Arabidopsis thaliana: one gene and its partners. The protein of the gene in region 3 interacts with the protein of the main gene of each other region in a pairwise test. Each region holds a gene or a part of one and is shown on either strand. Other genes may lie near its edges.

Region 1 (9,136 bases), on a different chromosome or scaffold from region 3:
CATTCGACTTGAATCTCTCTGTTATATTTTTACTTCGATCATTATCTATGTAGCTCGTGGGTCTTGCTCTTAATAGTTTTTTTGAATCTCTTTTGCTTCCACACATACGACTGGATGTCGGAAAGAGAGAGAACCTTCTCCGCCGTCACAGCGACCGCAAAAGAGATCTCAACCACCGGCAAAGATTCCATCGATGTCGCATGCACGAAACCGATCACCGAGACACTTTCAAATTAATGAAATTCAGGTCGGCGAGTGGAGTCAAGATTCTTCCCTCATCGAAGGTCTCAAAGCACGAATCTATGGAGGCTCAGATAAACTAGTATGGGAGTTAGACCATAAACGAGCAAGAAAAAGGAAGATAAAGATCGTTTTTGGTAACGTTTCCTCGATGCAATTTAGCGCATGCTCAAACATATGCAAGGTTCAGAGACAAAAAAACAAAAAACAAAACAAAAAAAAACAAAACTGGACACTTATATATTGAAATCATTTTTTTTTATAAGAATAAACACATAAAAAACATCATTTACAAAAAATAAAGGATTTAGCCCAATAAATCATTTTTTTTTTGAAATTGTTGGTGTATTTAATCAACAAATTTACAAAAAGAAGAATTACGTTAAGCTTTAAAGAAATACAAATATATATGAATTTATATTTAATATTATTTTTCTTCTTTTTTCTTATACTTGAACATATTTTTTTTTTATTGGCGATGCTCAAAGAGAAAAAAAATGTTTGTGCTCCCTTTGGTTATGGGCCCCTGGTTCTTAGAGCTGATACTAAGAAAATGTCACTAAATCTCAAATATTTGGGTCAAAGCCCATATATGGTCAGATAGAGGCCCATTCAAAAGGTCTGAGATATGGAGGGAGCCGGGAGGAGTGGTCTAGTCTAGATATAAATAAACGAATAAAATGGTTTGGCGGGCATTTCTTCAAATGCCAACGAATCTCGAATATTCCATATATTACCTGTCATTTCCCTTTCTCTGATAAACTACATAACAAAAACAAAAGAAGAAGAGGGACAAACATTTTGGGGTTTACATCAGAAAAACAAGCTGTACCTATTTCCAATTCCGAATAAGATAATTAGAGTTTAATTAACCCTAATAGATTATTTTAGTTTCTTTTTACAAAGTTGTTAACTATGATTCTGGCATGAGACAACTGAGAAAACATATTGCTCGGACTTGTGTCGGTGAGACCCGAATCAGAAGAAATTGTTTAGAGGGGAAGATATTGAACGTTGGATCAGAGGGACCCATACAACACACCCACCAATCCAAGGGTCGCGATCTATTTGAGGTGGCAAATGGTTCCCACTTACCCGCAGGAATATTATGGGACCGCTCCTTAACTCTTGCAATGTCACTTGTTGGTGCATCCCACTCTTCTCTTCCTTCTTCTCTCTTCAAGATAAAGCGATAACATAAACAAATGATTATTTTTACAAGATTTGATTTGCTGCCTATATTACTCCATTATGCAATATAATAAAATACTAATATTCCAGATCTTTATACGGTTTTAGATACCAATAAATATCTGACACTGAACTAAATCGATAAAAAGTATAAATAAAGCACCATATGTTATTAAAATATAATTCACATAAAAAATATCAAATAATTCATAGATTTGCCTATAAGCAAATGACTCGTCCGTGACTGTTAAATGAAATTAATCGGTACAAGTTATCTATGGAAAACAGTTCAACTATTTAACTATATCTTCTACTACAGTGTCTTTTTCGTTCTAATTGAGTAATTCATAAACGTTTAACTAATTCGATTGATACTCATCAACGCCTTATAGCATTGTCAATATACAACTATAAACATTGAGATGTCACCAAATTTTGGTGAGGCTAAATAGAAAACATTATAATTACGACGACGACGATAATCTAATCATATATCATGGAAAGTCACAAATCTTACCGTGTAAAATCATTCGCCTCTTTCTAATTCAATTATTGTTTTAACTTTAATTAGGTGGATTGGTTTGAATTCTACGTTTACCACACCAGTCACCACTTGGATAAACCTTTAGGCCATGAATGATATTATATAATTTAGAAAGAAATGGAAACTAAATCGTGATTGAAAGATAAAAGTATGTCAGCCACAAAACTAGGAAAGATTTCCTTTACATGATAATAATTTTTTCGAGATTCATTAGCAACCTGCAAAAGGGAACAAAGATAAAGCATGAGTGGTCACTAGTACTCACTGAGTACCCAAAAAAAACACAATTAAATGCTAAGAAAATTCCACAAAATAATTTTTTGGTTAAGATATTTTATTTTATATATAAAAAGGTATTTATCCGATTGGAGGGTTGCACACCATTCAATACACTTAATTACGTCAGCCGTTCGAAAAGGCCCTCCGATATATCCTCCTCTCTCACAAACTTCTTCAATTTTGTATTCACTGGCAATATCTATGTACGGTTTGGTGCACTGTATCTTCTTACACGACTGTCTCGTATCGTATGAAGATGAGATTAAAATGAAAAAGTATTGGAATCTAACCTAATCGAACAAATGCCAAAAATAATTTAGTACAACGTCGAATCGAATTTGTGAAAGTACTATAGAATCGATTCACATTAGAGACGAATACGAGTTTTTATTCCACTTTAAATTTCATCGTAAACTGAAAAGTTTTTTTTTTTTTTTTTTGCTTTGCATTTTTCTTTTTTGCTTTATCTGACACGTAGATATTAATCAGCACACGGATGTAGTTTTATCTCTTTGCCAAAAAAAGAGAGTCAAATCCTCAAATTTAATCCTACATAAATGAGAATTTTGTTATTGTTAATCATAGCTTTTACAATTATAGCAAGCATTTACTTTACCCCAATAAAGTTTATGGCAAGCATTTATATATCGTGGATTGGTAAATTAACAATTTTATACAGATGGCCTGTTTTAATTAAAGGGTTAGATTTTTCACTATGGCTTTCATTTAAACAATTAAAAACCCTGATATTTTAACTACGTATTTCCATTTATCCTAATCATGAAATTAATACAAAATGATTTAGGCTCTTAACTATATCTTCTTTTTTTATTGTTCAAAGCTCTTTACTATTTATCCATATTTGATAATATGTACACTGAATCCATCTTTGTAAAATAGGAAGAGAGAATTAAATGATATATTTTAGACCAAAATACACCCGATTTGGTAAATACTCAGAATATACCATATGGATCAGATAAATCATAATCTTCACCTAACTAAATTAATTTTCTACCACGAAGGGGGATTGACTACAAAACCCGAAAAGTACTAATCATGTACTTCCAGATCCGACGGCTAAAAACGCATCGATCAACACGTAGTAGGTGTCTTTCGCCCTAAACTCAACGACCAAGATGAACTCAAGCTTTACTTTGCTGTCGTGTCCGACAACTACCGGATAGATGAGGATGAATCTAAATTCGGACAAATAGAGCGTAGTCAACACGCGCGTAAATGAGTTCTGATGGTGTAGCGTAAAAACCGTGTACCCAACCGTACCGGATTCCATCTATCTTTCTGGATGGGAGCATCCAAAGAGAAGAAGGAGAGAGCTAGTCTTATATAACGACACGATATCCTCACCTATTTACGCCTCATTTTCTTCTTCACCTCTCTCTCTGTGTGTGTTCTGTGTTCTCTCTCTCGCGCGAAGCGGTTCTCTTTCTTTTGTTTATTTGTTTTTATTTGTTTTTCTCTTATACGGAGGAGAGAAGATGGTGGCGCCTGCTTTGTTACCGGAGCTCTGGACGGAGATCCTTGTACCGATTTGTGCGGTGATTGGTATCGCCTTTTCGCTTTTCCAATGGTACGTTGTATCTCGCGTGAAACTCACCTCTGACCTCGGCGCATCGTCTTCCGGTGGAGCTAACAATGGGAAGAATGGATACGGTGATTATCTAATCGAGGAAGAGGAAGGTGTTAATGACCAGAGTGTTGTCGCTAAGTGCGCTGAGATTCAGACTGCTATTTCCGAAGGTAAGATCTATTGATACTTTATTCAGATCTCACTGTTCTGTTTTTAGATCTGGCTCTGTTTTTTGATTGGTGGTTGTTTGATGATGTTTTGGATTGTTAGAACGTTGAAATTACTAATTCAGTATCTTGTGAAATCTGAGATGATGTGTGTTTTCTGAGTGAATAATATTGGGATCTGTTTGGTTGTTGTGGGGACAGGTGCAACTTCATTCCTATTCACGGAGTACAAATATGTTGGTGTCTTCATGATTTTCTTTGCTGCTGTTATCTTTGTTTTCCTCGGCTCTGTTGAGGGATTCAGCACTGATAACAAGCCTTGTACTTACGACACCACCAGAACCTGCAAGCCTGCATTGGCTACTGCAGCTTTCAGTACCATTGCTTTCGTGCTTGGTGCTGTTACCTCTGTTCTATCTGGTTTCCTTGGGATGAAGATTGCTACATACGCTAATGCTAGGACCACTTTGGAGGCGAGGAAAGGTGTTGGAAAGGCGTTCATTGTTGCATTCAGGTCTGGTGCTGTGATGGGTTTCCTTCTTGCAGCGAGTGGTCTATTGGTGCTTTACATTACTATCAATGTGTTCAAGATCTATTACGGAGATGACTGGGAAGGTCTTTTTGAGGCTATTACTGGTTATGGTCTTGGTGGGTCTTCCATGGCTCTCTTTGGCCGTGTTGGTGGTGGGATCTACACTAAGGCTGCTGATGTCGGCGCTGACCTTGTCGGTAAAATTGAGAGGAATATTCCAGAGGATGATCCAAGAAACCCAGCTGTAAGTACACCATTTCACTGTGTGATAACACTTTGCTTTCTTTTTTTCAATAGAAGTTAAGACTTATTTTGGTTGGTTATGTTACAGGTCATTGCTGATAATGTCGGTGACAATGTTGGTGACATTGCTGGTATGGGATCTGATCTCTTTGGATCATATGCTGAAGCATCATGCGCTGCTCTTGTTGTTGCCTCGATCTCATCTTTCGGAATCAACCACGACTTCACTGCCATGTGCTACCCATTGCTCATCAGTTCAATGGGAATCTTGGTTTGTTTGATCACAACTCTCTTTGCCACTGACTTCTTTGAGATTAAGCTTGTCAAGGAGATTGAACCAGCATTGAAGAACCAGCTCATTATCTCAACTGTTATTATGACTGTTGGTATTGCTATTGTGTCATGGGTTGGCTTACCGACCTCCTTTACCATCTTCAACTTTGGAACACAAAAAGTTGTCAAGAACTGGTAATTTCCTTGTGGATGATTGCTTTTGTTTTTTTCCTGCATTTCTCTATTCAAATTTCTCGTTGCACTTTTTTAAGTCTTGCATTATTTTGGATTTCAGGCAGCTATTCCTTTGTGTTTGTGTTGGTCTTTGGGCTGGACTCATTATTGGTTTCGTCACTGAGTACTACACTAGTAACGCCTACAGGTAAGACTCATTTTAGCTGTATTTAGTCACTAACTTTTCCCAGCTAGTAGAGCTAACTCTTATGTCCTCCTATTCTTGCAGCCCTGTGCAAGATGTTGCAGATTCATGCAGAACTGGTGCAGCTACCAATGTTATCTTCGGCCTTGCTCTTGGTTACAAATCCGTCATTATTCCAATCTTTGCTATTGCTATCAGTATATTCGTTAGCTTCAGCTTTGCTGCTATGTATGGTGTTGCTGTTGCTGCTCTTGGTATGCTCAGTACCATTGCCACTGGTTTGGCAATTGATGCTTATGGTCCCATCAGTGACAATGCTGGTGGTATTGCTGAAATGGCTGGAATGAGCCACCGCATCCGTGAAAGAACTGATGCTCTTGATGCCGCTGGAAACACCACTGCTGCTATTGGAAAGGTATGGAGCCTTCTTAACCTCTTTCTGCAATCCGATGAATTAATAAAAGAGCTTGCTTGCTTGAACCATTCCTCAGGTTGCCTTTGCTTGTGTTGTATTTTGACATGTTATTCTGGTTTGTTGTGTACAGGGATTTGCCATTGGCTCTGCTGCCCTAGTCTCCTTGGCTCTCTTTGGTGCCTTTGTGAGCCGTGCAGGGATCCACACCGTAGATGTTTTGACCCCTAAAGTTATCATTGGGCTCCTTGTTGGTGCCATGCTTCCTTACTGGTTCTCTGCCATGACAATGAAGAGTGTGGGAAGTGCAGCTCTTAAGATGGTTGAAGAAGTTCGCAGGCAGTTCAACACCATCCCTGGACTTATGGAAGGAACCGCAAAACCAGACTACGCCACATGTGTCAAGATCTCCACCGATGCTTCCATCAAGGAAATGATACCTCCTGGTTGCCTTGTCATGCTCACACCTCTCATTGTTGGTTTCTTCTTTGGAGTTGAGACCCTCTCTGGTGTCCTCGCCGGATCTCTTGTATCCGGTGTTCAGGTAAAGTATATTCTCAATTCAATTGTGAATAACTATTCTTAAAAAAAATGCTCATCGATGCTCTCTGTTTATTCTATTCAGATCGCCATATCAGCATCTAACACTGGTGGTGCCTGGGACAACGCCAAGAAATACATCGAGGTAATGGAATTTTCTTGTAGCTTAAATCAAACCATTTGAAAATATGAAGTCAAATCCTTAAGCATTGTTATATATTCGCAGGCTGGTGTATCAGAGCACGCAAAGAGCCTTGGACCAAAGGGTTCAGAGCCACACAAGGCAGCTGTGATTGGAGACACAATTGGAGACCCATTGAAGGATACTTCAGGACCTTCATTGAACATCCTCATCAAGCTCATGGCTGTTGAGTCTCTTGTCTTTGCTCCCTTCTTCGCCACTCACGGTGGTATCCTTTTCAAGTACTTCTAAACTCAATCCGAGGGAAGAAGATGACGATGATGAAGAAGAAGAAGATGATGATGGCGATCGATTCTAAACTTTCTTTTTTACCATTCTTATTTTCGTTTACCGTAGGTGGTTAAAAAACCTTTTTTGTTGATGAGGCTCATTTAAAGAACCAACCAAATGATGTTTCTTTCTCTCACTCTCTGTCTTTCTGTTTTCTTTTTGTTCTGTTTAGAATTTAGAAATCCACCAAGTATTCGGTCGAGACTTGTTTTAGCCGTTACTTTCTGCTGCTTATATTTCCTAAATTGGTTGTCTTCTTCGAGACATAATTGGAATTTATTGTTACTGTTAGTCTTTTGTCGGCGTTAGGTGTAAACGATTCTCAATTTCTCATGATCTGTAAATTCTTTCATGACATTTATTACCACAAACAACAAATGATTTTACACAGCTGTAGTTTCTACCTAAGACTCTCGAAGAGCTTCTGCTCCAGCCACAATCTCCAGCAACTCCCCAGTGATCTTAGCCTGTCTCGCTCGGTTATAAGCCATCGTCAGATTCTTCTTCAATTCAACCGCATTATCAGTCGCATTACTCATCGCATTCATCCTCGACGCAAGCTCACTCGCTAAAGATTCCTGCAGTGCTCTTAGAATCTGACTGTTGAGATACAAAGGCATCATTGCATCAAGAATCTGAACAGGGTCTTGCTCAAACTGCATCAACGGTGAGATCTCAGGCTTCTCAACTTCAAGCTTGGTCCTTTCCACAGCTAACTTCCCATCTTTGCTCGTTAGCCTAAACATCTCATCCTCGATAGCATCAACACACTCACCTTTCACATCACAAGACTCTCCTTTCATCGACAAAGGCAACAGAGTGTGGATCACAGGATCAGATTTCACCAAAGACACAAACTTTGTGTAAACAAGCTCAACTTTATCAACCTCTTCACTGACAAACAAGGAAAACACATCATCTGCAATAACTTGAGCTTCTTTAGTCGTTGGGAAAACACCTCCTCCTTCAATACATTTATCAACATCAAATTCATCTCTCCGACTAAAATAAGCATTCCCTTTCTTACCTACACTTATCACAACACAGTCTATTCCTCTCTGCTTCAACTCTTGAACTCGCAGAGTAGCTTTCTTGGTCACTGCATTGTTGAAACCACCACACAATCCTTTATCGCCAGTAACAACAACCAAAGCAACTCTCTTCACGGGTCTAACAATGCTCAGAGGAAAATCAATGTCTTCTAATTGAGCAGATTGGTTAATTGAGTAGAGAATCTCCACAAGAGTTTCAGTGAAAGGTCTACCCTTTATGACTGCATCTTGAGCTCGACGAACTCTAGCTGCCGCCACGAGTCTCATCGCTTCCGTTATCTTCTGGGTATTCTTCACACTGTCGATTCGTTCTCGTAACTCTCGGATTCCAGCTCGAATTTGAATTGAGGGCAACGGAGATCTCGACGAAATCCGGTTTGGTGTCAGTGATTGAAACGGATAATAACGAACTGGTTTCAAGGTAGCTATGAAAGAGTAGGACTCTGAGCTCGAAGCCGAATTCGAATTCGAAGGAGACGACAAGAGCCAAGAGGTCGAGATCGAACCTGTCATTTTCGTTTGGGAAAGAAGACCCTGAACTTGAGAGGTTTAAGATTTCATCTTCTCGTGAAGAAATGAGCAAAGAAAGAGAACTTGAGGGGTTTTCTGTAATTATCATGTTTATTAGGGGTCAGTATATAAAAATTACTACAAAAGTCAAAATTAGAGTTTTTGTTTTTTTTTTTCTATGAGAAAAACGAGGGAAATATCAATAACCCTCCTAAATCCTAATAAAAATTACTACAAATAGCCAAATTAATAGAAAACCAAAAAACAACAACTATAGTCAGCATATGAAAATTACGAAATTTTCTTTTTAAAGATTCATATATAGGAAGAGATTGAACTTTAAAGTAACAAATCAAAATAAAATTATGGACAAATAAAAACTCTAGTCCTTCAGAAAAAGAAATATTGTAAATGCGGGTTACTAAATACAAATGAATACAAAACAGTACCTACAAATTTCCTTGGAACGACTTTTAATTTTGACCTCAATTTTTTATTTCCATTATGGTCCTTGTGTTGTTGTGTATTTAGCATTTTGTTTTTCTTGGGTCAATCAGCATCACCACGTTTAGGCCACGACATAAAATTGATCCGTTTATTTTTGAGGCTCGCTCGCATCTTCTTCCTCCTTTGGCGCAACCGCTTCTTCCTCTTCTATTCTCACAGATTTCTCTAAGCTCCCAACTTTGGAGCTAAAACTCAATCAACACT
Region 2 (7,671 bases), 7.3 Mb from region 3:
GCTGTGTAAGTTCTTTCTTTACCTTGTTTTTGGCATGTTTCCGTTAGTTTTTAATGTGAAAATGTGGCTGTAGATTACAGAAGTAAAACATATGTAAAAGTGTTTGCATCTGTAATTTTACAGGGTGGCAGATAAAGTATCTAACCCGTTGAAAGCTGAAATGGCAAGCAAGGACGACGAAGACACTCGTTCAACTACCACTTCGTATGCAGTTTCTTCATGATCTTCCATGTTTATTAATGATATATGTATCTCTATATATAATGTTTGGATGTTCAACAGAACTTCTACACCTCGTGGGCGGAGAAGCAGTGTTGGATCGGCATCTGGATTTTCGTTCAGGTTGGAGGAACGGGCTGAAAAACGGAAGGAGGTTGCTGCTAATTCTCATTCTCTATTCTTACAACATTTTCATTCTAACTTTTTCAAGTAAGTTTTTGTTTCTTCCTAACTTGTGTCTCCTTTGTCGGGTTTACCTTTCAGTTTTATATGAAACTAGAAGAGAAGATCCATGCAAAGGAAGTAGAGAAGACCAATTTGCAGGCGAAATCAAAGGTAAGCTTTATAAGACTCTTCTATAATGGAAGAAAACTCTTATTGGTCTGTGACATTTGTCATTTTTTGGGTTAAATGGATTGTGTTTGTTTAGGAGAGCCAGGAAGAAGAGATCAAAAGGTTGAGGAAGAGCTTGACGTTCAAGGCTGGTCCCATGCCCAGTTTCTACAAAGAACCCCCACCTAAGGTTGAATTGAAGAAGGTTTGCTTCTTTCTCTTCCTATGTGATCAAACTTGTGCTACACTATTTTTCTTATACCGTGCTCCATGAAAATGTTGCAGATACCAACTACTCGTCCTAAGTCTCCAAAGCTAGGACGCAGAAAGAGTAGCAGTGATGCAACAGGAGGTGAAGCCGCTCCTCGCGTGACAAAACCAAAAGACTCATCATCATCTACAGTGAAGAAACCAATAACAAAGTCTCAGCCAAAGCTTGAAACTCAAGAGAAATCAGTGAAGGCCAAAGAAAAGAAAAAGAAAGTGAAGAAAGAAGAAGCAGAGAAGAGAGGAGAAGAAGAGAAGGCTACTGCCGTGGCTGCGAAACCTGAAGAGCAGAAACCAAACTCCAATAACATCCAAGTGAAGGCTGAGATAATGGCGAGTGAGGTTGTAGTGGGAGGCTGAAGCAAAGAGAGCATTCAGCAGCGATGTCTAATGTCTGCTTCTTTTTTTCTTTCTTAAAGCATTAATGTGAATAGAGTTGTTGCATTGCGTCTACTTTTTTAAGAGTTTATACTTCATTCCTTCAGTTTATTTTTTGGAAAATTAAGCCTCGATTGCTTCTTAAGATGGTCTCAAATGTGTTGAACTCAAATATGTATCACGAGCATAGATATGTGTGAATTTGAAGTGTATAACAGTGGTGAGTTGTGCAAATAATTAATGTCTAAGGAGAGGCTAGTGGGGTCTTTATTTACAGCTGAGGTTTACTAAGGTCAGCTACAAATATCGATCCTTGTGGGGTATTCCGTATTTGCGACATGTTTTGTGGTGAATATGAGATCATGCTTTAGATCTACATTTCACAAACTTGAAATACTGTAATTCCTTGATTAGTTTTTCACCTTTTGTAATATCAAAACACATCATAACGTTTGACTTTGACTTACTATTAGATAGTTTTGTGAAATTCCAGAGAAAGAATTTAGTGATACATTCATTTGCAAAAGACTAGAGAGAATCAGGCTTTTAATACATGAGGACAAAAGCCACACCACAGCTCACCTGCCCTCGTGGCCAGTGCCCACTTACTCTTGTAATATCTTCTCTCACCGTCTTAATAGTAACATTAAAGATTCGTGTCCTAGGCTGTGAAATATATCATTCATCATCTCGCTGTAAAACATACATAGAAAAGTTCTTTTTTGTTTTAAAAAGCAAATAGTTCTCCAAAGAGTTTAATCATGTGAAATTTAGCTGTTTATATGTAATATGCCCAATTAATTACTGTTGATCTGAATACTTAATTCTCCTTTGTGTTTGGTTGGTTACACACAAGAATATTGTTATAATTTTTTTGCAAAGAATAAATAAATACGCTGACTTTATGACCAAGGTGAATAAATGTACATTATGCTAATTGATGTATACCATTATGTACATTGCAACTACCATTTCCAATCACACATTTTATATGCAACAAATATGTGACAGACATTTTCTATTTACAGAATTAGATATCAATAATTGATAGGAGAGAATGGAATAGAATAGAATAGGCACACAAATGGATCCTTCCTTTATTATTTCCATACAGATTGTATAACTTGTATTACATATTTGATTTCTCTAAACTCCTAGAACTTTTTTACTCACCCCCAAATAACAAACTTAATCAAAATCTACGTATATATATATATATATTTATGATAATAAAAAAATTACAAATAGAACATGCAAATAACAACGAACCCAAAAATCACATCATTTACATATTCAACTCTTTCTTTTTTTTTTCCACATGTTTACAGAATTAAGAATTTGGAAGCTTGGAATTTTTTTTTGATAACGTGTGAAATCACTGACACGGAATAAACCGTGACCCCATCATTCTACAAGCTACCTCCATCAATTTACCTGCATATATTATCATATCATCAGTAACTTTAATCAATGATTAAGTGCAAATGAATATATGATTAGAAACAAAACCCAAAAGACCAGAAAAAAAAGAGTTTGGTTTGGGTTTTAGTGAAAATTTAGACAAGCTGTCGTTAACGAACCAATGTGTCTCAATCACAGCTTGTCTTTTATAAAGAACAAATAAAAATCATTTTCCTTAATTTAATGATAATATGGGATTATTCGTCGGTGGGTTAAAGAATTAAAAAGAATAAAAGTAAGCGGAATATTAAAAAACAAAATTTGTTAAGAGAGTTTTGTCTTCATTCTCTCACAAGTCTCTACTTTATTCCAAATCCCACATGTTTTCTTACTTCTACTCTCATTATACGACCAAATTCATGGCTGCTAAGTGCTAATCTATGTGATTAATGTTTCATTCCACACATAAAGTTTAGTACAGTAATAAACTAATAAATGTTAGAATAAGAATTTTTGACACTCAATGACACAAAACAATGATGAATTTTTGTGTTTAGATGTCAATGTCAAATATTTATTGACCGAATAATTAGCGTCTAAAAATAATCGTAACAAAAAGAGTAAAGAAATGGAAAATTTATCTTTACCTCTTCTTGATTTAGAAACTTTCTTAACGACCGGAGCAGCTGGTTTAATCTCCGTCGCCGGCGTTTCCTCCTTCGGGAACAAGACTCCATCAATACCCTGAACTGAAATCCGACCGTCCGTGTAGATATCAGGATCAAACAAGTAAGCTGAACCATCACCGTGTCCGAATTTGACAGATCCATCAGCTTCTTGAGCCAACACTTTATGTGGGAATCTCAATGAATCATACTTCACTTTTCCGAATCTCCGAACAGCGTTGTACATACTCTCCTCTGTTTGATACTCCGGTATGATGTGGTAATACATAATTTGTTCAGGAGCACCTGGCTCGCTAAGCTGGTCCGTTGTGAGCTTAGCCATGGCTTCGTCGTTAGGAGCAAGAACGGTTAAAACGTAGCCTTCTGACACGAGTCGACCCATCTCAGTGGCTAAAGAGGTTAAGTTGACGAGTATATCAGCCATCTCGTTGTAGCCACCGTAATGCAAGAGAGTGTGGATGAAATCTTTAACTTGAGCATCGCCGTTGAAATGGCCACGTGGACCACCGGGTCCGGGAGCTGGAGCAGGAGCTAGGGAAGGACCTGGTGACATAGCGTCGTAGATTGGAAGAACCGGAGGAGCTCCGGCGGGAACGGCGGGAGATGGTTTCTTGAGACGGTGAGTTCTAGGGTCAACCTCAGGAGCTCCTTCTGGTATAACGGCGGAGATTGAACGGAGACTACGACGGCGGTTAAAATCTTCTTGAACAGAGCGAGGGATGAGAAGACGTTCGATGCCGTGAATGATACCATCGGGTCTAATGACGTCATCGGGTCGGATAATCTCAGCGGAATCTACTTTAAGAGTGTTGACGTCGACGGTGAGGTGGAGATGGTCGTTGGAGAGAGTACGGTGGTGATGAGAAAGAGAAGGCCATTGAGGAGAAGTGATTCGTTTAGGAAGAATGTGGAACATTAATAAAGATTGTAAAGATTTGAGGTTTCTTGGTTCGAGCAAGAAAGATTTGAAGAGTGGGTCTAAGTTTCGTTCCAAGGCATCGTTGCGTGGTGCGAAGATTGTGATGTTGTGTTTACCAACTGCTTCTTCGAGGGTCTGGAGAAGGAGAGCTTTTTCGACTAGTTCTGCTAGCTCTGTGTAGTGAGAGTCCAGGAGAGCTACGAGGACTGAGTTTGAGTTTATTTGACCCGGTACTGGTTTGTTATCGGGTAATGCGGTCGCAATGGAGGTGGTGAGGAAGAGGAGGAGAAGGAACTTTGTGGCGCCATAGGAGGAATCCATGGCGGTGGAGAGAGAGAGAGAGAGGGGAAAGAAGTGTCGGCACAATGAAGAAAGAAAAATGGTTTGGTGTTTTTTTGCTTGTGAAGAAGGAGAGAGAGAGAAAGAGAGATTCTGATGCTGATGTGAAGTTTCTTCTTTCTTTCATTAAAATTTTAATTTTTGAGTGGGTGTGTTTTTTGCATATTTTATTTTATATTTTTGGTAAGGGTAAAAAGTTGGGTCTACACGAGAAGCAAAGGTTATGTGTCGTGTCAAGTTGTTTGGCTTATGCCTAACTCGGAGCCTCTCTCTCAGACAAAAGGTTTTTACTTGCTTCTGTTGAACAACTCAGCACTATGCCTCTGTCTTCGAGCCTCGTGTCGTGTTCTGACTCGGTCGATATCTGAACTTCACTTGAAGTTAGAACTTTCCATCTTTGTATTTTTTCTTGTAAACAACAGATCAAAACGTACGACTCAAACAATTGTAAATCCAATTATTAGCTGCAATGTGTGCTATTTACTATGATTAACTATTATACAACATATGTTGTCACGTTGAAATTTGATTTGCATTTCGAATTTTAAAATACTATGGTACTACTTATGCTTCATTGATACAACAAAATTCCATTCTTCGTGGCCACTTCTTTTGTTAATAAATTCTTGAGACTTTATCTTTTGTACAACCATTGAGACACAAAAACTACGTTAGGTGATTAGTTAGCAAAATAGATAAATCAAATTCGTTTTCAGAGGCTCGGCCACCAACGTACGTGGATCCAATCATTTATATTTTATATGACGGTCGATCGGTTCATTATTCCAAAACCAAAAGATTATTAGTCAAATATTTCAGTAAATTGTTAAAGATTTATCGATTGGTTTGTATGTCATAATAACTCTCATGCCGTCATCGTCTGTGAGCTTCCATATATTGTATCTTTTTTTCATGGGTTTCCTCTTTGTCATTCTTTACAAACTTTTTGTTTGTTTGTCCATATTCTCAAGATACTAAAAATCATTTACTTAGCTTAAAATCATTCATTTTTAAATTGCTCCAGTCGAACACATGCGAAGTTTTCTCTGGATGTACTAGAAGAAAGCCTAATAAGTGAATCTTCGGTGATAAACATAGTCGAATGTTATAGCATTGTTAAAAGTGTTTATGAAATGAAGTTACATTGTAATCCATTTTCGTGGGTGAAATTATAGAGAAACCCCTATCCAAATGACTTATAGTTTATACTTTCTAGACCCATGAGTCTCATATAGCAATAAACAACACATTTTATTTTACTACATATTGAAATCATTGTAAGAAAACCAGTGAAGGAAGGTAAGATGTCTTTAGTCTAAATGTATCGATTAAAACTTTTGATCTAACATTGTGTCATTTTTCAAGAATCTTTGTTTAAAAGACTTAAGACAAATACATCCAACATAAATCTAATTTTATCTTTTTATCCTATATATCACACATAAATATGTCGTCATAATGAATAAAACACACATCTTGTGATGGGGATCTACATCTACTTGATCAATAAAATGAATATACAAGTTACAAGTTTTGTGAGACAGATGTAAAACAAGTTTTTACCTTTTACGCAAAAGTCATAACGTATGATTTGCTAATGGTACGTGTGGTGAAAAAGCGCGTAAAAAGTCGTAACGTATGATTTGATAATATAAAAATAAATCTCGTTTTGGATCAAATAAAATAATTTTTTTAATAAAACTCGTTTTCGACGTTAATAAATGATCTGAAACGGCGACGTTTCTCCTGCCGTTAGATTTGCCATCGCCGTCGAACCGACACTGTCTTTGGTAGTTGGCTTTCTTCTTTGATTCGAAGCTCCGTTCCCAGTCAGTCCCACCAACATTATATAGAGAAGAAAAACATTTATTGGTATTCATTTTAATATTTTCAATTTCTTGATATTAAATTTGGCCATAGAGCTCCTCCTCACTCGTAACAGAAACGGAATTCTTCACTATTAAGTTTTTCTTAATCATTTTAATTTATTAGGTGTCAATATATATGATTCCATTATTTCGAAAAGAAAAGTCAATTGGTGATTTAAAAGGTTTTTTTCTATTAGAGAAAGAATATAAATTTGACAATAATTGAGAAAAAGCATGCATTGTATATAAACTTTTAGGGTAGATGCGAGATGCATGGCCATTCGAGATATTATGAAGATCTTGTAATATGACATTATTAATCAAAGTATCCCTGCAATTAATTTACCATTGATTCATACTAATTCATTCTTATAAAATTAAAGATTGATAGGACAAATATAAATTCACGTCCTTACATTGGTATGTTGTAGTTACTAATTTATATTGTTTACCTAACTAGAAACCCATTTATGGTTTCAGGGGTACTGTTAGGCGGCACTGTTTCTAGCAGTGATGATTGATCGACTATTAGATTGTTAATCGACCAGGATTTGTATTACTATCGTTGTAAGTCATAATCCATATTTTAACCAATGCATGTTGTTGGAGAAAAAAACAAAAAAGAAGCTAAATATATGTTCTCCCCAAAAATGTAAACTCCAAATCTGCCTGGGCTTTATACCAAAAGCCCAAGTACTACGTCATCTTGAATCTTTCTTTTGGCTGGTTCTAATTAATACGCTAGTGTACCAATTTTGGCTGGTACTAATTATACGCTACTCGAGATACGAATGAGAACATCAACAACACATCTACATCTACGTCCATTGACAACTTGGCATAATAAAAAAAAAAAGACATGGAATGGGGTATGTGGTCCGGTCTAGCTCCTAATTTTGTGAAGAGCGGTGTACACTTAATATTTACCAAATAAGGAAAACAAATACACAGAAAAATTCATGTGTTGAATGTTGACTTCATCTTTCATCCTCCAACTTTGATGATTTGCGAAAACTCCGGCGATACTCTTCGTTGTTCCCTGACGGCTCCACCATATCTTCTGCAAAGCTCACTTTCTTTTTCTTTTTCTTTCTTTCCTTAGTAGGAGGTTCGAGCTTGTCCATGTAACCAGAGAGGAGACGCTTGTGAAGCTGAGCTGCAAGAAGCACCACGCTTCCAGAGACGGCGAAGACTGTCATGAACCCAATTGAGCTCTCCATCTTCTTGAGATTTTGTTGCTGTTAATTTAGATGAGAGAAGA
Region 3 (7,080 bases):
CCGATTTCTTCCGGATATTCGCTTAGGGATAACATTTAATCGAATGTTTTAAGTTTCATGAGTACCAAAACAAGAAAACAAATAATAACAATGTGAATAATAATGTTATCAAGTTTTGTTATATGATACCAAAAATAGAAAAATTTGGTAGATGACAATAATAACTTCATTGCCACTCTCAAGTTCGTTCGTTCGTTGAATCTTATCTCACTTCTCCCATTATTTACAACTGTGGATAAGCCTTTTAGTCTGACTCAGCTTTCTCAAGATCCGAAAACACACTGACCCAACCCGGTTCGATTTTGCTTAACCGGACAAGATACATTAATCTGCCTAATCTTCAATTATTTAAAAGCTAACTAAACGTTATACGTACTAATCACTTCTTCCCCTATAAATAAACCTTTCTAATTTCTCATCTCAAATCACACTGCATCACAAAACCCAAATCGGAACTTAAACCAAAAGACAAACAAAAACGCCGTCGTTTCACGATGCTTTCTTCTTCCCCAACCTTCTTCGCTACTCCATTTCTCTCTTCTTCTTCTTCTTCTTCTCCGTCGTTCTCTTCTACTTCACCACCGTCACGCATTTCCCGGATCTCGCCGTCGCTTTCTACAACCACCGCGTCCTACACCTGCGCCGAAGATCTACCGAGATTACGCCAAATCCCGCAGCGATTTTCAGCAACCGCGTCTCTCTACGAGATCCTTGAAATTCCCGTCGGCTCGACGAGTCAAGAGATCAAATCAGCTTACCGGCGACTAGCCAGGATCTGTCATCCCGATGTAGCGAGAAATAGTCGGGATAACTCGTCGGCGGACGATTTCATGAAGATCCACGCAGCGTATTGCACGCTTTCGGATCCCGAGAAACGCGCCGTTTATGATCGGAGGACTCTTCTTCGGAGCCGGCCGTTAACGGCTGGATACGGCAGTTACGGTGGACGGAATTGGGAAACCGATCAGTGCTGGTAGCGAGTTGACTCGATGTGTCGAGTTGGTCCAAAACCATTGAATTGGTTGTAATTAGAGCAAACCCAGAGATTCTGGGTGGTTGTGCCACGTAGGATCAACACGGTTTATCGTGCCACGTAGGATCTGTCGCGTTTTTAGCCTTTGTATCCATAAGTAGTAAGTAGTCTGTATTTAGTATTTACCATCTAATAAAGAAAATAAAAATTTATGTATAACTTAAAGTGTTCCAACTTAGCAATCAATAGTATGTAGCCTTGGAGAAACAGATTTTTTTTGTTACAGGTAAGATTTACATACTGAAATCATATAGCATTCTTAGAAAATTTTAGTTGTATTATGTTGTAGTCACCTAATTTAAAAAGCTGGGAGTGTTTTTTTTCTAGTCGCACAATCAGCCGACATCGACAATAAAAGAAAAGAAGATCTATGTCAAATAGTAACAAAAATACATAAATACATATATATGTAAAGATTTTAATACTGTTGCGGTGCGGTTTTGGGTGTGGTCTATGTTACCATTCATGGTCTTAGTCTATCGAAAGTTCGATAACGTTGTTTGCCTTGGTGGCAGTGAATTTTTTCCTGTCACGCGACTGTGAAAAGAGTAATTTTTAGAGACGTTACAATCGCATATCGTGAATTCCGATGTATGTGATATGTGTATGTGGAGGGTTACTGAGAGTTTTTTCTATGGGCGTTATAAACATTTTTAGTTTGAACGTTGTGCAATCAACTAGGTATGCATGCATGGGTTAATTTTATGATTCTAATTTTTTTGGGTAAAAGTTATATAAATAACGGTATTTCAAAGAGTTAACATTGGGTCAAATTTCTTGCTCAGAATTTCAGAGTTATACTAACATGACGTTTATGATGATAATAATTATAGTCAATTTAAATTGCCTTCACCAGGGCCACCAAAATAGCTAAGCAAATACGACAGACAAGGTTCTTTTCTTCTCGTCATCATAATCCATGTGTCACTCTTGTTTCAACATGCCATGTTCTGGAACATTTGCATCTCACGAATCTTTCATAATATTTACAAAAAAAAACTCATATTCTTTTCACATATATATAACTATTTTAAATGTGAACAAAAAAAAAGTAATTATAAATTCACTATTGTCATTAAAAGAAAAATAAATAAAAAAAGGAACTCTTGTCATTTTCTTAAGTATAGCATTGTCATGACAAAAGCTATGCTGTCCATAAACAATGGGAAGCAGAAGATTGTTGATGTTCGACACCATACATTATCAAAATATATAATATATATATATATATAATAGACGATAGATATCCAATAATTAGTTTAAGTAATTGGGATGTTCTTTTTTTCTTGCTTCTAGAAGAAAATATGATCGAATCATTTTTTTCTTCACAATTGAACTTCGGATAATATCATCCATGTATTGGTTCATTGAATTAAAAAAGTGAGCTGGGATATTGAAAATTTGGATGCAAAATAAGTTGCATAAAAATAGATATAATATCAAAATATAATATATTGTTTAGATAAAACAACCAAAAGTGTGAAACACTTTCTCTTCTAGTAGAAGTATAACATAATAATCTAAATCATGTCATATTTACTTTAGATTTACTATGAATATCCCTTTCTTTTTGCAAAAAGTGATAATTATAGACTGCATTTTCATCCAATTCCCAGAGTTTGGGGATGGTTAAGAGATGATAAAACATCTCAAGCATTTTTTTTAAAGTTAGTGTGAAATCAAACCTTATCAATTTTGCTTAGTTCTTTTGAAACTCTTACATAAATAGGCCCATTTCATTATGTGAACCATGGGCCTGATCCAAAATGCACACGTGGTAACTGCCGCCGATAGAGAAGGAGCTGACGTGGCGAATTTAAGGTCAATTTGGGGTTAATAGATCTAGCAAGTAGCAATTTAGGGTTTTCATTTTACCCATTTCCTCTCTTTGTACGAACAAAGTGCTTCGAGTTTTTGTTAACCTTTTTCTCTGATCTAATGGCGATGGAAGATCAATCGGCGGCGAGATCTATCGGAAAAGTTAGTTGGTTTAGCGATGGAAAAGGCTACGGTTTCATTACTCCCGATGATGGCGGCGAAGAGCTTTTTGTTCATCAATCCTCAATTGTCTCCGATGGATTCCGTAGCTTGACTCTTGGTGAATCGGTTGAATACGAAATCGCGCTTGGAAGCGACGGAAAGACTAAGGCCATTGAAGTTACTGCTCCCGGCGGCGGTTCACTTAATAAGAAGGAAAACAGCTCCCGTGGATCCGGAGGTAATTGTTTTAATTGCGGTGAGGTTGGTCATATGGCTAAGGATTGTGACGGTGGAAGTGGTGGGAAAAGCTTTGGAGGTGGTGGTGGTCGTAGATCTGGCGGCGAAGGTGAATGTTACATGTGTGGTGATGTGGGACACTTCGCTAGGGATTGTAGGCAAAGCGGTGGTGGAAACAGCGGCGGAGGAGGAGGAGGTGGTCGTCCGTGTTACAGTTGCGGTGAGGTTGGTCATTTGGCAAAGGATTGTCGTGGTGGTTCTGGTGGAAACAGATACGGAGGAGGTGGTGGTCGTGGATCTGGCGGTGATGGATGCTACATGTGTGGTGGTGTGGGACATTTCGCTAGGGATTGTAGGCAAAACGGCGGTGGAAACGTTGGAGGTGGTGGAAGCACTTGTTATACCTGTGGCGGAGTTGGCCACATTGCGAAAGTTTGCACCAGCAAGATACCTTCTGGTGGTGGTGGTGGTGGTCGTGCTTGTTACGAATGTGGAGGAACTGGCCATTTGGCTCGTGACTGTGATCGGAGAGGAAGTGGAAGCAGCGGAGGTGGCGGTGGCAGTAACAAGTGCTTCATCTGCGGCAAGGAAGGTCACTTTGCGAGGGAATGTACTTCGGTTGCTTAACAAAAAGATGCAAAGAAGAAGAGTAATGTTCATAAACCTCTTTTGTTTTCTATTAAAATCTACCTAATGCTCCTTTTTGGTGACTATAATGTGATTGCTAAAGTCGTTTAGGATGTTTAAGAATGGTTGTTTTGGGAGTTTTTGATCTCTCTATATTACTCTTTTGACTGGTTTATGCAACCTGTTCACTGCTTTTGTTGATGCCATAAGTTTGAGATCTTGAATGATATGTGTGCTTGCTTATTTACAGTTTCTTGTCTTTCCTTGCAATGAGTGTGATTGTATGACTTGAAAATTCAATCTGTTATGGTCACTTCTGTTATATACCAAGATTTGAGACTTTTTTTTACTAACTTGTAAATACAAAGAGATGAGTCACAAGTCTTTCTTGGTTCCTCTTTGTTGGAGAGCTTAAAGATTTTCCTGTAACTGGTTTACTTATACTCTGCATTGCTGTTTTTCTTGTTCTTGATGAAACAGAGATATTAGCTTAAGAATAATCTTTTGATATTTTAGATTACTTAGATCTTGTTTTAGGAGAATCTCCTGAACAGAGGAGAGACATGGTGTGCGTGATCTTGTAGTGCCTATGCCTGTTCGTCAGTTCGTGGTTTCTTTTTCTCTACTTACCGTGATGTTTTAAGAAGATGATGAAGTTAATCCCGTTAGTTTTTTTTAACCTAATTACACTTGTGATTAGCTGAATCTTTCGGATATAAACATTTGGATCCCACGTGTTCTGTTATTGGAAGTGACTTGATCTTTCTTAACATATACAAAGACAAGCTTCTAATGTCCAACACCTCCTTTATTTCCGTTAATACAAAATCCCACCAATTCCAGTACAATTAACTTACTACACAACACCATACATGTCTCTTTCCTATCAAAGTCTTTAAACTAAATAACTTTTTCCTTAACAAACAAAAGAGAGCTTTTTCCTCCTCTAACCTTTATCTAAATTTCTAGTTTTGAATTTAGGAAGAGATCCTCAACAAATAGTTATAAAAAAAAAATGTATAATTTTCGAAAAGGATAACAAGTATACTAGCTTGATTCGTAATTTCCATTTCACAAGTATTAATGAGAATATTGAAATAAAGGAAATGATGAGTGAACATGTATCGGATTCTGTAATGGCAAAACTCATATAGGGAAAATTGATATTATGAAACTTTCCATAACACAAATCCCCGATTCTCTTATATAAACACGATCCCTAACTTCTCCTGAATCATACAACATCAAACGGTAACAATGGATTTGGCTAAAGTCTCTTGCTTTCTCTTAGCGATTATGTTTTTCATCAATGGTGGTTCCTCCACCACGTTCACCATCGTTAACCAGTGTAACTACACCGTCTGGCCGGGACTTCTCTCCGGCGCCGGCACCGCTCCATTACCCACCACTGGTTTCTCCCTCAACTCCTTTGAGTCACGACTCATCTCCATACCCGCCGCTTGGTCCGGCCGCATATGGGGACGCACGCTCTGCAACCAAAACGAAATCACCGGAATATTCACTTGCGTCACCGGCGACTGCGGCTCATCCCAAATCGAATGCTCTGGCGCAGGAGCAATCCCTCCAGCTACACTAGCCGAATTCACACTCAACGGCGCCGAAAATCTAGATTTCTACGACGTTAGCCTCGTCGATGGTTACAACATCCCAATGACGATCGTTCCTTACGGCGGAGCTATCGGAGTCGGTAAGTGTAACGCAACGGGTTGCGCGGCGGATCTCAACGGCTTATGTCCGGAGCAGCTGAAAGTAACGGTTGAAGCGGCTGGAACGGGTGCTGTGGCGTGCAAGAGCGCTTGTGAGGCGTTTGGAACGCCGGAGTTTTGTTGTAACGGCGCGTTTGGAACGCCGGACACGTGTCAGCCGAGTGAGTACTCTGTTTTCTTTAAGAAAACTTGTCCGACGGCTTATAGTTACGCTTATGACGACGGCACAAGCACTTTTACTTGCTCCGGTGCTGATTACGTCATCACTTTCTGTCCTTCTCCTTCAAGGTAATATTTTTGCTACTGAATTTACTAAATAAGGAAAGTAATATTCGAAAAATGTTAATTTTAGTGTTTTTTGGTAATTTTAATGAATCTTAGATTATTCAAAATTCATATTTTGGAAGTTTTGTTAACTGTTTTATATATTTTTGTTGTTGTTGTTGTGTTTTGAATTAGTGAAGACTTTGAGAAGAGTGTGTCTCCGCCTCTGCAACCGGAAGCAGTTAGCGTCTCTGACGCGTCAAGTAGAATCTCAGTTGCGTTATCATTGGTCGTTTTGGCTGTTGCGGTTTCTTGGGTGTGGAGTGGACTTTGGTGATATTCAATACGGCACCGACCTTTTTTTTTTCTTTTTCTTTTGTCTTTTTGTTCATTCTGTTTTTTCAAACTAAAATTGTTAAACAGATTTTCCAATTAATTTATGTGATTGATTTTGTTGCGACTCAAGAAAACGAGTTTTTTTTGGGCTGAAGTAAACATTGACTAGTTAATATCATACTCCCTCTGTTTCTAAATATTTGTAATTTAAGGTTTTTGTACACAAATTAAAAAAACATACAAATTTCATTTAATTTATTTTTTTTCTATAAAATATTATTAATTATAACTAATGCAACCAATAAAAAAATATGATCTAAAATATAATTGGTTTCTTTTTTTTCCGACAATCTAAAATATAATTGGTTAAAAACTGTTAAATACATTTAATATTTGCATAGAAAAATAAAAACAACACTTATATTGAAAAAAATAAAAAAAATTTAAACTATATATAATTAAAAACAGAGGGAGTAATAGATTTTAAAAGATTTTATATAATAGTATTGTCAAAAATAATAAAGATTATATAACACACAAAAAAAAACAAGAGCTGAAAGCCTCAAACTACAATAAGTGACACAATATCACTACAAAAACAAAGTGTGTGGATTACTATTTAGAAGTTCAAATATTTTCAATAGAAAAAAAATTTAAAACTCAATTTTAGATTTTTACGATAAAATAAATAGCTAAATTATATAGTAAAAATGAAATGTGTAAGATTAAAATTTAATTTAAAATAAAAACTACTAAAAGTAGTTTATTAACAAAGTGTATAGATTACTATTTAAAAGTATTTAGAATTTAAATATCAGCTAAATGTACCTTAGCTAATTAATTATACATTGATATAATATTAAATTAGTTTTCGCA
Region 4 (8,301 bases), on a different chromosome or scaffold from region 3:
CTATTATGGACAGCAATCTAACCGGGGAGAAAATCAGTGGCTTGGACTTGAGAGAGCAGCCGAGTAACAAGAACTGCTCTGGTGGATCTGATAGTTGCAAGGAAGATGTTTCTGCAGAGTAGGAAGGCTCAGCATCAGCGTCTAACCCACTAATACAGATCTTTCTAAAATCGAGTCCGGTTCTTGTTAGTACCCAAGAGTGGAATATACCTTTTAGATGGATTCTCTTCTCTTTCAAAGTTTAGAATTGTATGATTTAATCAGAGTTGAACAAACACTAGTGAGAGAATGTAACAAAGTTATTTTTGTTTTTCCAGATTTGTGCAATTTAATGGTCAATAATTCATTTGAATCCAAAACTAATTATGAATTTGAATAAATAAATTAGAATCCAAACAAAATTAACCTCAACTCGGAGGAAAATAGAATAAGAGATGTCACTGAATAAGTACATAGACATGCCTTCAAATATCAAAAAAAATTCATAAAATGTAGTAGAGCTCAAGACCTAGGCTTCTCCTTCTTTTCCTTGAAAAGGGCCAAGAGTGAGACACCAGAGACCTTCACCACTTTGAACCTAACTCCGGGAATATCTCCGACGGCATGACCTTTACGCCCAAATCCAGCAATCAACACCTCGTCCTACACACAGTATCAATGAATGAGTAATTGGTAAGAATATAATTTGATTACTCATTCAAAAGTAGATGTCAATCTAACTTACATTTTCTTCAATGTAGTTCAAACAACCATCATTGGGGACAAAGGCAGCAATCTTTTTACCATTCTTGATCAACTGAACTCTAGCACACTTACGGATAGCAGAGTTAGGCTGCTTAGCCTCAATACCACTGCATAATCAAACACAGAGTCTCATCAAAGTCAAGATCTATACTACTAACAAAATCAAGAAATGGTAAATATATATGTTTATACAAACTTACATTTTCTCAAGAACGATTCCTTTAGCGTGAGAAGAACAAGCAAAAGGCTTCTTCCACTCGTTGCCTCGATTAGACTTCTTGTAATGCTTGTCCGCCCACCTCTGAGTAATCCGAAGCTGCTTAAGCTTGCGACCAGCTCCCATACCACGTGTCTTACTGAAGATATTCAAATAGAAGATAAAAGAAATTGAGAACCAAAGGACATTTCATCAGATGAAATCAACTCACTCAGAACATATAAAACAAATTCGGAGTTGATAAAGAACATAAAGTTATAATCTAAATCACAAATACTTAACACAAGAGGAGAGTGTAGTAAGGAAAAAAATCAAAAATCATAATCATAATTTCCACATTTCAGACCAAATAACTCCAACGTTTATAAGAAAAAACTACGAATTATAGCAACTTCGTAGCTTCAACAGGGTGATTAACAAAGTATTACTACACGACGTATGAATGTCATTCAAATCCCTTAATTCAACCATCCCGACCCGAGATAACGAAAACGGCAAGGCACCAAAGAGAAACCGGAATAAACAAAAAAAACATAAAACAAATCCTAAACCCGACATAACAAAAACACGATCACTTATAAGCGGAGAGATGAGACTGAAACATAAAGAGTCTAAGAGAGGATACCGTACCCCATGTTGACGACGGCGCGAGTGAAAAAGTCGAGAGATGAGCTGAAACTGCTAAAGGCGCGACGTTTTAAGTTCGTGAGAGATTGAAAAACCCTAGTGATAAGAAAATAGGTATATATAGGCTTGGGTCAAGACTCGTGAGAGCCCTGGTTTAGGCATTAACCGGTCTGCAATGAAATTGATTAAACGGCAAATGATTATTTTTATATTTGGGCTTAACAAGAAGGCCCATCACATGTCAACCCAAATATTATGCCAACTCCTTAAGGTAATAATACGGGAAAAATGTCGTTTTATACGTGAACTTTAAAAAATGGCCATTTAATACGAAAATTTTTGTGTGGCCAAATAAAACATAATAAAAACGTTGACCGGCCGTTTCACACAAATATTATTGTTGACTACGCCAAAGTCTCCATGCCGTTATCTTTCATTAACGGATCCGTTAATTCCGTTAACACATGTTAATTAGTTTCCGTCAATACTCAAAACGACGTCGTTTTATTGAAATCAAAAAATCAAAATTCCTAAAATTGATTTCAAAATCTCTAAATTCCAAAAAAACAAATCCTTAATTCCTAAATTCCAAAAATCAAATCCCTAAATTCTAAAAACCAAATCCCTAACAGCCTCTTATTTTCAGCAATTGGTCGTCGTAATAGTCATCGTCGTAAAGATCCTCAAGAGAGCTAAAGAAGGGCCTTCGCTTTGATGTTTCCTCCTTGTTCATCATCGATCTTGTTCCTCCCCCTTCGTGAATTCAAACGAACAACTGCTGTCAATAGTCGAATGTTATTATTCATATTCAAATTGGTTCTCATGTGTGTGTGTTCGTAACATTTTATTCACAAGACAACAAAACAAAAACAGGGAAACTTCCAACATGATGAAATAAGATTATGAGAGTGAGAAAAGAACCTTGGACAACGGGATTGAGATTCCTAAAGAAGAACATGATGTTGCCATGTGAAGCAGATGGATTGAAGAAAAATGAATTGGATTCCATTTTGGAATTTAGGGATTTTGAAATCAATTTGGGAATTTTGATTTTTTGATTTCAATGAAATGACGTCGTTTTGAGTATTACAGGAAACTAATTAACGTGTGGTAACGGAATTAACGTATCCGTTAGAAAAAGATAACGGTATGGGGATTTTGGCCTGGTCAACAATAACATTTGTGTGAAACGACCGGTCAACATTTTTATTATGTTTTATTTGGCCACACAAAAAATTCACGTATTAAATGGTCACTTTTTGAAAGTTTACGTATAAAACGACATTTTTCCCGTAATACCGTATACGCTGCATTGAAACATTCCAGTCCTAGTCACGTGCACGGTGCACCTACTAGCCCACGACTCCCACACTATCCGCCACGTCAGAAAACGAAACCGGTTGTAGCAGGTAAAAGGCACACAAAGCTAAGCATAAGGAAGCGCGCGACACGCACCGGTTCAGCCGGTACTCTGCGTCGATAAACGACATGCAAGACCGTCCATTTTCTTAAAAAAGCGATCTTGATCTGACGGTCCTTATTTGTTTATTCAACCGGTAAAATACAAAAAAATCAGGAAAAGGATCGTGGATCGTCAATGGCGGACTGGAGTAAATTTCTTTGACAATAACCAGTCCTAAATCAAGGTAGAATATTGCAAAAATGTTCAATGGAAGAAGATAGATTGGTGACCATGATTATCAACGACGTCTAAGCTGTTTCTGCGTCATTTGGTAAGTGAAGCTTTTGTCTCTTTCGATTTCTCTAATGCAAAAAAAAAGGGAGAAAGATTTTGATTCGTTATTGAAATTATTCTCTTTGAGTTATTTTAATTAGAAAGAAGTAATTTTTATATATATTTGTCAAGAAAAAAAGTGAGCTTGAAGTTCACGCTTGTAAAGGTGTCAGTTTTGCAGCTCATTATCGCCATGTTCTTCTCTCTCGCGCTCTTTGTGTTTTCTTCTCTTTGCTCATAAGAACCCACTTTAATGTATGTTCAGGTCTTCTTCTTCTTCGTCTTGTTGCTCTGAAGAGTTGGTCCTGACTTGGGATTTAGGGATTTCGTTTTGATAATGGAGGAGATGCGAAGAGGAGTGCCTACGTGGCAAGACGAGTTAGCTAGTCTCATGGACGGAGGTTTACAATACGACGGATCTCCGATTGATTTGACGGCGGATACTGAATCGAGGTCAAAGAGTTCGGGTTTCGAGTCGGGTTCTGGATCCGAATCAGTGGAGAGTTTGAAAGATCAAGTGACGGGGTTTATGAAGTCTTGGGGAGAAATGCTTATGGATCTCGCAATCGGATGCAAAGACGTTGTGCAGCAGATGGTGGTGACCGACGACTCTTTCGTTGTAAGGAAGCTCCGGAAACCAGCTGCTAAGGTTTCGAAGAAGCTTAGCTTCCTTAACGAGTACTTGCCTGAGGATCGTGATCCTGTTCATGCTTGGCCTGTGATTTTCTTCGTCTTCCTCCTAGCTCTCACAGGTATATTATCAAACAGTTTTCTGGTTTTGGATCACCATTATGTATCTGCAATGCCACACTCTTATAATGAACAGTTATTCAAAATGTCTGCTAGAAAACTGTGTATTGGGATGAACCTTATAGAATTTTTTGAGGTTGTTGTATGTAGTTAACTTGATTCTGCTTAGATATTGGTTTAAGTGGCAGTCTTGAATAGATTCTCGTTGGTGCAAGAGAGGCTTGTATCCTTACTCTGACATATCCAACTTTTAAGTGCAGCATTGAGTTTTAGTTCAGACCATGATAGATCTGTCCCTTTGTTGAAGAAAATCCGTCTGCATCCTACTAGTGCAAGCCGTGTACAGCTTCCAGATGGTAGATATTTAGCTTACCAGGAGCTTGGTGTTTCAGCTGACAGAGCTAGACACTCTCTAATTGTTCCTCATTCTTTTCTTTCCTCTCGGCTTGCAGGTATGATCAAATAAGCTCCTTGTTTCAGCTTCAGCTTACTTTTAATGATGCAATTACATCTGATTTGCTTCTACTGTTTCAACATTATCTTATCAAGGTATACCTGGAGTAAAAGAATCATTGCTCAAGGACTATGGTGTTCGTCTAGTGTCATATGATCTTCCAGGGTTTGGAGAGAGTGATCCCCATCGTGCTCGGAACCTTAGCTCATCTGCCTCGGATATGATTGACCTAGCTGCTGCTCTAGGGATTGTTGACAAGTTCTGGTTACTCGGCTATTCCAGTGGTAGTGTGCATGCCTGGGCTGCAATGAGATATTTTCCGGACCAAATAGCTGGTACCTTCAATTTTTTGGATAAAATTTGAAAATTCACAATTCATGGCCAACTCATGTTTTTCACAGAATGACACAAAATAATATGGGAAGGTATTGATTTTTATAAATCTACAGGAGTTGCCATGGTAGCGCCTATGATAAATCCATATGAGCCAAGCATGACAAAGGAAGAGATGGCAAAAACGTGGGAGCAGTGGCAACGAAAGAGGAAATTCATGTACTTCTTAGCACGTCGGTGGCCAAGTCTTCTTCCTTTCTCCTACCGTAGGTCCTTTCTCTCTGGTAATCTCGAGCCGCTGGATAAGTGGATGTCAGTGTCATTAGGAGAAAAGGTAAGTCTGTATTCATCAAGTGTTTCTTCCCAAGGTTTTGAGTCTTTGTGAGTTATGGCTCACAAGCTAAACCTGTATACACCACTTTTCTATTTCAGGACAAACTTGTAACCGCAGATCCAGTTTTTGAAGATCTTTACCAAAGGAATGTGGAGGAGTCTGTACGCCAAGGAACTGCAAAACCATTTGTGGAAGAAGCCGCATTACAGGTATCAAATTGGGGCTTTAGTCTTCCCGAGTTCCACATGCAGAAGAAGTGTAGAACCAATGGCGTCCTCTCTTGGCTAATGTCAATGTACAGTGAATCCGAATGTGAACTAATTGGTTTTCGGAAACCTATACACATATGGCAGGTTTGTTGAAATCACACTTAAAACCGCCATCTACAAGATCACCTTTGTCAAGTTGTGAGTTACTCATTTTGCTTGTGGTCACATAGGGTATGGACGACCGAGTCACTCCACCTTCAGTGACAGATTACATTAGTCGAGTCATACCAGAAGCAACGGTACATAGACTCCCAAACGAAGGCCACTTCTCTTACTTCTATCTCTGTGATGAGTGCCACACGCAGATCTTTTCGGCCATATTTGGAGAACCAAAGGGCCCGGTAGAGTTATTGGAACAAAGAACGGAAACCCATAGACCGGATCAACCAAAGACAGGTTTATCTGACAGTAGCTCACTACCAAAGAGTAAGTAAAAAAGAACTATAGGAACACGTTGTTCTTGGTCTTCGTTCCATTATGGAGAAATGTGTAAATAACACCAAGAAGATGATTTAGTCCTCTGCTTTGGTTGAAGATTTCAGATTCTATAGGTTATAACAAAGCAGAGTTCATTTTGAGAGTACATTTGGCACTGCAAAGAGTGCAAGTGAAAGAACATTTTATTAAAGCGGCTATCCCTTAATTGGAAATGCAATATTTTTTTCTTCTTATAGTTTTATGTTTGAACAAAACCAGAATCCGACTAGACTCATTTTCAGTTTGGTTTATATATTTCTCACGCTGAAAAAGTTAAATACCCACGTTATACATCATCATGATAAAAAAATGAACTAGACCAATAACTTGGAACTACATGGCTTGATAGGATCAATCAATCTAATGGTTATTGCTTAAAGAGAACGATCTAGACTAACTACTCGAAACTAGGCCACATGGCTTTGTGGTTGGGATCAATCGACCTCACCCAAAGGGTTTCAAAACGCAGAACCAGAGTTCTTGGTTTTTCCAAGCATCATGTCTTTGGCTTCATTGATCTTAGACGCAAGGTAATGGCTTCCTCCTGCATCTGGATGATTAGCCACCATCACTCTACGGTGAGCTTCCTTCACCTTCTCTGCCGCTACACTCTCCCTATTCAAACACCACAAGTGACAAACTCATCAAGCCATAATAATGTCGCAAAAACCACCACTAAACATATGCAAACCATTTACCCTTGTGTAAGAACATAGTTTGGCCCCTATGCAAACTTGTTAAAAACTAGTGTGGCATACCTACTGCCTATAAATGATCATTTACCAATTCTACCAAAAATGAAAGAGTCAGAAAGAAACTCCCCTATGACTAGCCAAAGATGAAGATATATTTAAGAACAGGAGGAGTCCCTCGAGGAGGACTAGTGTGAGAAACCATACCGCCTATTTCAAATCATTTACACAGCGGAGACTTTACAAAACTAGCAGAAGAGAAACCTTATTTAAAACAAAAGTCCCAAGACCACTAGTATCATTTGTAGTGAGAGGCTAAACTCTAAAGACAGAAAGAAAGGTACCTAACACCGAGAATTAGAGCAGCTTCTCTTCGATTCATAGTAGCTTGGAAACCACCTTCATAGAATTTTCGCATTCTAGGCCTAACTGGTCTCAGCTTAAACGCTTGCCATGCCTCTATTCCATATTTACCAGCATAAGCAGCAGCAGCAACAGCAGCGCCTGCAATTATCGCTGCAACCTGGAGAGCATACGAGAAGCGAAGAATATTATTCCATACGTCAGACAAGATGAAACAGAGTAAACCATAGAAAAAACACTCTGATACTGACACAAACCCCAAACACAAATGAGCAAAAATAAAAGCAGAAGCTCTAAAAAAGGAGGATTCTTTTAGAAACCCTAATCGAATCAAAGGGATGCTTTGAAATATCATCAAATCATTTTTCCAAAATCAATCAGCAAAAACAGTAAAGAGTGGAAATTGTAGAGAACCCCGAAAGAAGAACATACGCAGGCAAACTTACCATTGTTGTAGAGGATTTGAGCTAGACAGTGTACTGAAAATAAACACGATCTGATCTGATAGGAAACAACTCTTCAGTGTTCGATTTTGTCGATCAATTTGAGGATTAGGGTTTTAGCTATTTCCTGGTTTGCTTGGACTTGGCCCAGATAGGTTGGTTGCGTTGCGTAAATAGTAGTCGAAACCTTCTAACTCTTTTAGTGGGTTTTAGATTTCTTTCGATATGGAAAAAAATAAAAACAGAACCGGTTTATTTTCTCTTGGATTCGGTTTTATCAAATCAATAATTTTGGTATGGTTTAAATTCGGATCAGTTACATTTAGTTTGCATCCATTAGTACTGAGAGTTGTGTATACTCTTTATCTTTCAAAAACTTGGTGTTAAAATCTTGAATAGAACTAATAGAGAGTTGAGAATGAAGAAGTAGTTGGCAACGTCAACAAAATATGCGTTTCACTGCCAACACGATCATAATGACACAAGACTACAAGAGAGTTCTTCAAGTTGTAAGTATTATTCTAGTTTTCTTTAATATATGAAAGAGTGAAATAAACAATAGAGAGACTTACACTGCACAAATGAATCAACGTAACACTTTCTTGTAACCAACATTGCTTATACTTGATACACAATCTCATAACTCCATATTCATTGCGACAAAAAATCATATAATGATGAATTACTATACCTCGGTTGGTCACGGCGTTCTCTCTGCCTTGAGAACGCCTTTTTCCACCTTTGGCGGGGCGGAGGATCGTCTGGGTTTGGGTGCAGGTGAAGCCGAGGTGGAGAGCCGTTTCTTTGCTGGTGCTTTCTCCGGTAATATACTGCTTTCCTCTGTTGTGGATGTGGTCACCGCT

Evidence for each region.
Region 1: the proteins of CSP3 (region 3) and AVP1 interact in a two-hybrid assay, tested with the Arabidopsis thaliana proteins (one study listed by BioGRID).
Region 2: the proteins of CSP3 (region 3) and FLA16 interact in a two-hybrid assay, tested with the Arabidopsis thaliana proteins (one study listed by BioGRID).
Region 4: the proteins of CSP3 (region 3) and AT3G09690 interact in a two-hybrid assay, tested with the Arabidopsis thaliana proteins (one study listed by BioGRID).

What each region holds. Positions count from the first base shown.
Region 1 is NC_003070.9:5,395,362-5,404,497, forward strand, and holds AVP1 (Inorganic H pyrophosphatase family protein), read left to right. Parts: upstream 1-3,564; 5' UTR 3,565-3,753; coding exon 3,754-4,015; intron 4,016-4,213; coding exon 4,214-4,788; intron 4,789-4,875; coding exon 4,876-5,255; intron 5,256-5,355; coding exon 5,356-5,442; intron 5,443-5,523; coding exon 5,524-5,854; intron 5,855-5,984; coding exon 5,985-6,395; intron 6,396-6,476; coding exon 6,477-6,536; intron 6,537-6,617; coding exon 6,618-6,824; 3' UTR 6,825-7,158; downstream 7,159-9,136. Other genes in the region: ATPC2 (ATPase, F1 complex, gamma subunit protein), read right to left, coding at 7,268-8,428. UniProt on the Arabidopsis thaliana protein: Contributes to the transtonoplast (from cytosol to vacuole lumen) H(+)-electrochemical potential difference. It establishes a proton gradient of similar and often greater magnitude than the H(+)-ATPase on the same membrane.
Region 2 is NC_003071.7:15,056,712-15,064,382, reverse strand, and holds FLA16 (FASCICLIN-like arabinogalactan protein 16 precursor), read right to left. Parts: upstream 4,621-7,671; 5' UTR 4,525-4,620; coding exon 3,246-4,524; intron 2,632-3,245; coding exon 2,573-2,631; 3' UTR 2,261-2,572; downstream 1-2,260. Other genes in the region: AT2G35880 (TPX2 (targeting protein for Xklp2) protein family), read left to right, coding at 1-5, 124-204, 283-373, 484-555, 650-757, 838-1,179; AT2G35850 (uncharacterized protein), read right to left, coding at 7,388-7,630. UniProt on the Arabidopsis thaliana protein: May be a cell surface adhesion protein.
Region 3 is NC_003071.7:7,761,073-7,768,152, reverse strand, and holds CSP3 (cold shock domain protein 3), read left to right. Parts: upstream 1-2,876; 5' UTR 2,877-2,971; coding exon 2,972-3,877; 3' UTR 3,878-4,625; downstream 4,626-7,080. Other genes in the region: AT2G17880 (Chaperone DnaJ-domain superfamily protein), read left to right, coding at 495-977; AT2G17860 (Pathogenesis-related thaumatin superfamily protein), read left to right, coding at 5,135-5,892, 6,069-6,075.
Region 4 is NC_003074.8:2,968,696-2,976,996, forward strand, and holds AT3G09690 (alpha/beta-Hydrolases superfamily protein), read left to right. Parts: upstream 1-3,117; 5' UTR 3,118-3,321; intron 3,322-3,478; exon of another isoform or gene 3,479-3,588; 5' UTR 3,589-3,660; coding exon 3,661-4,075; intron 4,076-4,333; coding exon 4,334-4,525; intron 4,526-4,622; coding exon 4,623-4,862; intron 4,863-4,976; coding exon 4,977-5,194; intron 5,195-5,292; coding exon 5,293-5,547; intron 5,548-5,633; coding exon 5,634-5,897; 3' UTR 5,898-6,148; downstream 6,149-8,301. Other genes in the region: AT3G09670 (Tudor/PWWP/MBT superfamily protein), read left to right, coding at 1-122; AT3G09680 (Ribosomal protein S12/S23 family protein), read right to left, coding at 502-642, 725-851, 945-1,100, 1,592-1,596; AT3G09700 (Chaperone DnaJ-domain superfamily protein), read right to left, coding at 6,399-6,555, 6,977-7,155, 7,442-7,444; IQD1 (IQ-domain 1), read right to left, coding at 8,139-8,301.